Linked DNA regions of Saccharomyces cerevisiae S288C. Changing the gene in region 1 together with any one later gene gives a genetic interaction. Each region holds a gene or a part of one and is shown on either strand. Other genes may lie near its edges. The genes, in order: GDE1 and GPC1.

The links.
Region 2: of GDE1 (region 1) and GPC1, changing one enhances a phenotype caused by changing the other (phenotypic enhancement), as found in Saccharomyces cerevisiae (one study listed by BioGRID).

What each region holds. Positions count from the first base shown.
Region 1 is NC_001148.4:343,035-346,967, reverse strand, and holds the start of GDE1 (glycerophosphocholine phosphodiesterase), read left to right. Parts: upstream 1-2,228; coding exon 2,229-3,933. Other genes in the region: CQD1 (Cqd1p), read left to right, coding at 1-1,371, 1,524-1,704. UniProt on the Saccharomyces cerevisiae protein: Glycerophosphocholine glycerophosphodiesterase responsible for the hydrolysis of intracellular glycerophosphocholine into glycerol-phosphate and choline. The choline is used for phosphatidyl-choline synthesis.
Region 2 is NC_001139.9:786,913-790,845, reverse strand, and holds GPC1 (glycerophosphocholine acyltransferase), read right to left. Parts: upstream 1,816-3,933; coding exon 517-1,815; downstream 1-516. Other genes in the region: CCM1 (Ccm1p), read left to right, coding at 1-387; 60S ribosomal protein eL24 RPL24B, read left to right, coding at 3,067-3,534; NAT2 (Nat2p), read left to right, coding at 3,926-3,933. UniProt on the Saccharomyces cerevisiae protein: Glycerophosphocholine acyltransferase (GPCAT) that utilizes acyl-CoA to acylate glycero-3-phosphocholine (GPC), forming lysophosphatidylcholine (LPC).

The DNA.
Region 1 (3,933 bases):
TGGTCATAAACTCAAAATTACGGACACCAATATAACTGAAACTCGAGGTTCATTGATTTGGTGTCAACTACTGCGTAAAGCATTGGAATTGGCTGGCCCGAGTTTCATTAAACTCGGACAATGGGCAGGATCGAGAACCGATATATTCTCTCACGCACTGTGTCATGAGTTGGGTAAATTGCATAGTAACGTTACAGCTCACTCTCTAAGCTTTACTCTGGAAAAACTTTCTCAAGCATTAAAGGTTGACAAGATCGAAGATGCTTTTGATGAATTTAATCGAACACCAATTGGAGTTGGGTCCATCGCACAAGTTTACGTGGGTGAACTATCCCAAAAGTACATCGATAAATATGACAATATACAAATTGGTAAGGATGGAAATCGTTGGTGTGCCATCAAGATCTTGCATCCAAATGTAAGATCTCAGATCCGGAGAGATTTGAAAATAATGAAATTCTGTGCTGACGCAATAAATTGGATTCCGACTATGGAATGGCTGTCTTTACCCAGCGAAGTCGATCAGTTTTCCATATTAATGAATATTCAGTTGGATCTAAGAATTGAGGCGTTAAACCTGGAAAGATTCAATGAGAACTTTAAAAATTCTATTCAGGTGAAATTTCCTAAACCATTTCTCCCCTTGTCAAATAGGGATGTTATGTTCGAAGAGCATGTATATGGTCTTTCCATGGAAAAGTTTTTATCTACGAAGAAGCAAATTAACGACGTTGAACTTTGTAAAAAAGTCAGTGATCCCTTCGTTGACGCGTTTCTACAAATGCTAATTCTTGATGATTTTGTTCATGCTGATTTGCATCCAGGCAATGTTATAATCAGATTTGTGAAGACGAACAAATACGGCACAAACATTATATCCTCCGAACTTGAATCGTACAGAATAACGCACGACCTGAGGAAGAAGATAGAGGAGGACCAAGATCAGGACTTTGTTGGAAAACTGAAGTCTGTATTAACTAATTACACTCCCCAAATTTGTTTTATCGATACAGGAATAATTACAGAATTGAATGAAAAAAACAGAATTAATTTCATAGCTCTATTCAACGCATTGGCCCGATTTGATGGTTATAGAGCTGGTGAGTTGATGATTGAGAGATCAAGAACTCCAGAAACAGCTATTGATAAGGAAGTATTTGCGTTTAAGGTAGAAAAGCTAGTGGATAAAGTTAAACAAAGAACATTTACATTGGGAACCGTCTCAATTGGCGATTTACTCGATCAAATGCTTAGTATGGTAAGGTCGCACCATGTTAGAATGGAGTCCGACTTTGTTTCCGTGGTGGTCGCTATTTTACTTCTAGAGGGTATTGGACGCCAGTTAGATCCAAACTTGGACTTATTTGAAAGGTTCGTATTTTACGCATGGATTAACGGTTTTAAAGAATAACATCAATTTTTTAAAACCCTTTTCTATTGCTTTTTTTTGCTTTTTATTGCTACTAAAGAAATTCTTTTACTAACAAAAATACCCACATCTTGTAACTTCTCTTCGTAAACAGTTCGCTGCCTATATTACGTGAATTCGGGTTTAAGCGGGAAGCCAAAAGTCTCTTGAAAGATGCAAGCACATTATCAATGCTCAAGATATGGGTTGGTTTAGAAGTGCGTCAATTAATGCATCTCTCGATGAAGCAAATATACGATCTTGTCAGGACTGATCAATTGTGTCCTAATTATTAATATTCTTTCTTTTTATGCATCTTTTATAATTGCGACTTCCACGTGTTCGCAGGTGGAGCAATGTTACACACGCTGTCCCAACATATTAGCTCTCCAAAAAAACGACCAAGTTTATTTAAGTGACAAATAATAATTTGCTGTTGCTCTAGCTGAAATTTAGACCAGTGCTGTCATTATCGACTCGTAGTGTTCTTTTAATAGTAAATTTCGTCAAAACGTTTCTAATTCACTTAATAGCGCCAACTGAATAAGAGAATTATTTTTAGAACGTGCACATTATATTAAAAAGAGAGCGTTGGCTGACAGAAGTAAAAAATAAATTATTGTCTTACAAAGTGAGACTATTAAAGAGTTTAAGTTTTGCAATTAGTGCTTCATTGAACAATAAGGCAACGGTAGCAAAAAATTTAAACCCAACTAAGAAGGGAACCCTCATCAAATTACACAAAAATAGCCACTATCTCCAACTAAGGTGACAAACTACTGAAACTGTAAGGTCTTTATATAATCAAACAATATAATCAATGAAGTTCGGAAAAACCTTTGCCAATCATCGCATTCCAGAGTGGTCAAGTCAATATGTTGGCTACAAGTCGTTGAAGAAAATGATTAAAGAAATTACAAGACTTCAAGAAGACATATATAGGGCACATAACAAGAATAGCTATGATGAAGGCAGGCCACCAACAAAAATGAGAGATTCATCTAATAGTGCTCAAAATTATTTGGACTCTCCAAAAATCCAAAAGTTATTGGCGTCGTTTTTCTTTGCAGTTGACAGGGATATTGAGAAGGTTGATACATTTTACAATTCCCAGTATGCGGAATATAAGAAAAGATTTGAGAGATTGCTTTCTTCTAATCAATTCAATGAGATAAAATCAACATTAGTGGTCGATGCCAACAAAGAAGATGCAGTAGCGCAAACCTTACTCACAAAGGATACGAGAGAGATGAATATGCTTTTAAAGGGAACAAGTCAAGCCAGCCGTCTATCTTACCATAAAGATGACTTAATTGAAATTCAGTCTATCTTAGCTGAGTTAAGAAAACAATTTAGAAACTTAAAGTGGTACGCTGAACTAAATAAGAGAGCTTTTGGTAAGATTTTAAAGAAACTGGATAAAAAAGTCGGCACAAATCAGCAAATGTCAACTATGAAAACTAGAATCTTGCCGTTACAATTTGCTAATGATTCTCTTATTACCAAAGATTTGAGTTTGCTAAAAACTATCTGGGAACAAGTGACGTTCAGGATAAATTCTTACGAGAGAGTAATGAGGAGTACCTCGCCGAACGCAAATGCTAATGATAATACAGAATTCTTTAAGATTATTTGCGTTTTTATAGAAGAAGATGATAGCAAAGGATTGATTAGAGAGCTAACAAACCTATATTCGGAATTGTCTTTGATTCCAACAAGAATTATGATAAGTGTTTTAAACAAGGCAGCACTGTCTAAATCACTGGCATGTATTGATGCTATCTTAAAGGTTATTCCGTCTCTAAATGACTCGGAAGATATTAACAGAAGAAATTTTTTCCATCATCACATAATTGCAATCGGGAAGTTAATCAGAAAACAGGAAATTTTAAGTAGGAAAAAGAAGTCACAACCCTCAAAATATACTAATAGTGAGGGAGAAATTGTAACAGATTTAAGAACCCTGCATACGACCCTATCTGCCCCGGCAGAATCAGATAGCATTACAGAGGAGGAAAAAAGTTCGGCCTGTACACTCTCTTATATTTTAGAGGAGTTACCAATTCATTTAAGACCATGCCTTTTTCAGCATGATAATTACAAGAGAACGCCCTTGCATTATTCTTGCCAGTATGGCTTATCTGAAGTTACGAAGTTGATTATCAAGTTAATGAAAGAATGGAATATCTGGAATGAAATCCCTATTGATGACGTTTCCGCGTTCGGAGATGCCGAATCATTGACACCTTTACATTTATGTGTGTTGGGTGCTCATCCCAAAACAACAGAAGTCTTATTGCAATCTTTGGATCCGAACGTGAAATTAAAAAGTTCAAGTTTGTTACATTTGGCCACTGAGTGGAATAACTATCCCCTTTTACATGTTCTCCTATCATCAAAAAGGTTTGATATTAATTATCAAGACAACGAATTACATGAAACACCGCTATATCTTGCTTGTAGATTAAATTTTTTCGAAGCTGCTGTGTGTTTGTTGTACAATGGAGCCGACCTTGAAATAAGAG
Region 2 (3,933 bases), on another chromosome or scaffold:
GACACCACGTTATATGAGCTGGTGATGAAAGCCGCTATAGAATTTCAAAATGAGGACTTAGCAAAGAAAGTATGGAATGATAGGGGTAAATTTAGGACGACTGTACCGTTTCTGAAAATGGACCAAAGAATAAGAATAGCAAAGGATCAGAAATTTGCCCATCTAATGGTTGAATTCTTCACAAAGCAAGGAAAGTATTCGGACGCAATAGCTATCATATTGTCTTCAAAAAATCGCTTCAATTGGACTTATTCCATGGTTAGGAATTTGCATAAAGCATTAGAAGAAATCGAGGATAGAAATAGCGTTGAAATCTTACTGGATGTAGTAAACAAAAAGTCACACGCAAAGGCCCTGAAGTGGGAGGAACAAGAACTTAACATGTAGTCATTAGACTAAAAGTGATTATATATCAAGAAACGACATATACGCGTCCATGCATGCACATATATATATATAGTAAAGCGCCTGTAAATAAAAGCTCTCAAAGTTAACAGATAAATGAAGTGAACTATCTTAATCACTCTTTGAGGATACACTTGAAGAGTCGTCAAAATCTTCGTCACGGTTGACATTCAAGTAATCCTTATCATTCACGGAGGCATCAGATATGACTGCATCAGAATCAGGCTGTAACTTTTGTTGTAAATTCTCAACTTCAAGACGTAATCTATCAACTTCTTTTTCGAAATTCTTCCCGTAGTGGTCGATATAGTAGGTAGCCCCATTATGAGACGCCCATAGAAATACTATAGTTAAAAATAGGGCCGCAGCTAATTTGTAACGAATCCATATGCCACACAATAGCATAGTGAATAGTTGATAGAAATATTGAGAAAGTGTGTAAATTATCATCGGCCAAGGTGACCTTAATTTAACTGCCCAAAAGTTTTTAAATTGGTGTGTGGTTAAATATTCAAAACTTGTCATTCTTTCCCCTGACTTGATCTTGCTAGACTTTTTCAACGTGATGAAGTAATGGTATAATGATTGCCAAACCAAATAATAAAGGGATGTCCAAAGAATATTTTTTTTGATGTCCAATTCACTTTGAATAATTGCTCCCGGAAACCTTTCGATTTTGTATTCGAGTGGTAATCCATGATAGATGACGTACATGACACAGGGAGGTATTATGTGAATGAAGCATGAAGTAGTCTTATCTATAGAATGTATTACCAAGGAATTTCTCCAAGTAATAACGGCAAAGCATAACGTTCCGAAAGTGAATGCAAAACATGACTGGAAAAGGCTGTATGAATATGGGAAAATCCAAATAAACAATAGGCATAGCATGTTCACAAAGTAACAAAAATCAGCCAGAAAGTAGTGGTTTTTGGTTTTATAGTATGTGTAAAAACGTATGGGCATCAGAACGAAGAACAGGATGGTATAGTAAACATGAAACCATTCTGGAAACCTGCCCATCAAAAATCCGATGAAAAATATATTAAACAGTGTGAAAGGGTAAAATGCTTTCTCCAACCTTGAGCTGTTTTTGAAAAAAATGGAATCCAAGGGTTTATCCAGATTCCTAATTCTTTGTAACGCTCTTACTTTGAAGTCCTCTAATTGCAAGAAAGAGCGACTTCTATTCAGGTGATGTGGATGATGACTATCATGTTCATGATGGGGTTTACGTCTTCTAAAACCCTCAAAATTTCGCAATTTCTGTTCTGCTTTCGAAAGATGAGAACCATGGTAGTATTTTGAAACTACTTTTGAAGCGATCGGGTCGAGAAATTCTAAAAGGCTCGTCAGTGAAACAGAGTTATTCGTTTCATCGTCAATGTCGTTATTGTCCAACTTGTACATTACGATAAAGATAGCGATGAGTGCCACTCTAAATGGTATCACAATGTGGAGATAATTTTTTGTTAAATGGGAGCTTTTATGATGTCAAAGCTTCTCTATTGAATATACCTTATATTACTATTGATATATATTTGTTATCCGCTAAACCCATTTAGGGGTTGATATGTCTAAAAAAAGCCAGCATTTGATCTGCTTGTGAATATTCGGCGAAGTCACACATAATGCGAGATAATTTTCAAAATTATAATGCCAAACCGAAATACAGCCATACGTAATTTGGTGGCCTAATATGCCTGGTGTGCTGGATAAGATATTATGTTAATGAAATATTTGTACGTACATCCGTTTGTGCGTATGTATATGTGTGTGTAAAATGTACATTGTCCAAGCTTTCCACAACTCCTATTATCGCTAGTGTTGGCAGGATTATTTGTTTGAAAATAGCATATATCTCGTTATGTGAAACTTTGCCAAACAATATTCCTTACAACATCCGTGCATACTCTAAACCCAATCACTAATTTTCAATTTTTAAAAACTTTATACTCTGTACTGCGGCAATTAAGGCTTTCGCGTCGTTGAGCGCGCAACACTACCGGGGGTTCCTTACCGTGAGCCTGCGCCTCTGTAGGAGAATGTAGAGGTTCCCGTTGAGGGAACTCCAGCCATGGGTTGACGGGAGTTCCCGTTTGGCCTGATTGCTCTTGCGCAGTTGACATCTAGCCAGAAACAGTAGTAGTGGGAGTTGATATTACCAATATTTACAGGTAACCTATATTGATTAACTAAATTATAGGCGTTTAAATTTTTGGGTGGTCAACAAAAGAGGCGAGCAACAATTTGAATTGAAACGTATGTCGCGTGCCCATTAGGAAATGAGAGAATATTGAGGACAACGAGGAGCTTCGCAGTGTAGGAATTGAGAAAGAAGCGACCATTTGAACAATGCTGAGGTTAATAAGAGGCCCACGATAAAGGCGTTATATTAATCAACGTTGAACATCTTCCCAGAAAAGTACATGCGAATAAATCAGGACCGTCGAAAGACGTACGGAACATCATTGGCAAATATACATCGGGATCTGTTGGATATGCTTGTCGTGATGAAATACTGTTCTCGTTGTCGGCTTGATAAATTTTCTCCCATTTAAAACTCTTTGAACCAAAATTGTGTACTAACATCAATTTGTATATAAACCATGAGTGTATTTCACCTTGTGGTTTTTCACAGCTTTTTAATTTAGAAGAACAATGAAGGTTGAAGTTGATTCCTTTTCCGGCGCTAAGATCTACCCAGGTAGAGGTACTTTATTTGTCCGTGGTGACTCCAAAATTTTCAGATTCCAAAACTCCAAATCTGCTTCTTTGTTCAAACAAAGAAAGAACCCAAGAAGAATCGCTTGGACCGTCTTGTTCAGAAAGCATCACAAGAAGGGTATCACCGAAGAAGTTGCTAAGAAGAGATCTAGAAAGACCGTTAAGGCGCAAAGACCAATCACTGGTGCTTCTTTGGACTTGATCAAGGAAAGAAGATCTTTGAAGCCAGAAGTTAGAAAAGCTAACAGAGAAGAAAAATTGAAAGCCAACAAGGAAAAGAAGAGAGCTGAAAAGGCTGCTAGAAAGGCTGAAAAGGCTAAGTCCGCTGGTGTCCAAGGTTCCAAGGTTTCCAAGCAACAAGCTAAGGGTGCTTTCCAAAAGGTTGCCGCCACTTCCCGTTAAGATAATTAACTTTTGTTAGTTTTTTATTAATAATATATCATTACAAGAAAAATGAAATAAAAAAATAAAAACGTGATCCGTACTTATTTTTGTGTTAAGTATCAAATAATATAATATATAAAAGACCGTGATACAATAGAAATCTGCGTTACGTTGAAAACGTCATAAAGGTATCTTTGGGATGAGCAGTTGTTATTGTTCATGATCGTTACCCGGCTTCAAGTGGATTTTCACGAAGCCTATGGGCTTGACATTTACATGATATCACATCTTTAAGAACAAGGGAAAACCAAAGTTAAAAAGTAGCATAAATTCCTCTTAGATCGCTGCAAGGAGATTAGATCTTCCCTTTCTTTTTTGAAATTTTCTTTTTTGGTCTAGAGTTGGGGTGATGATGGT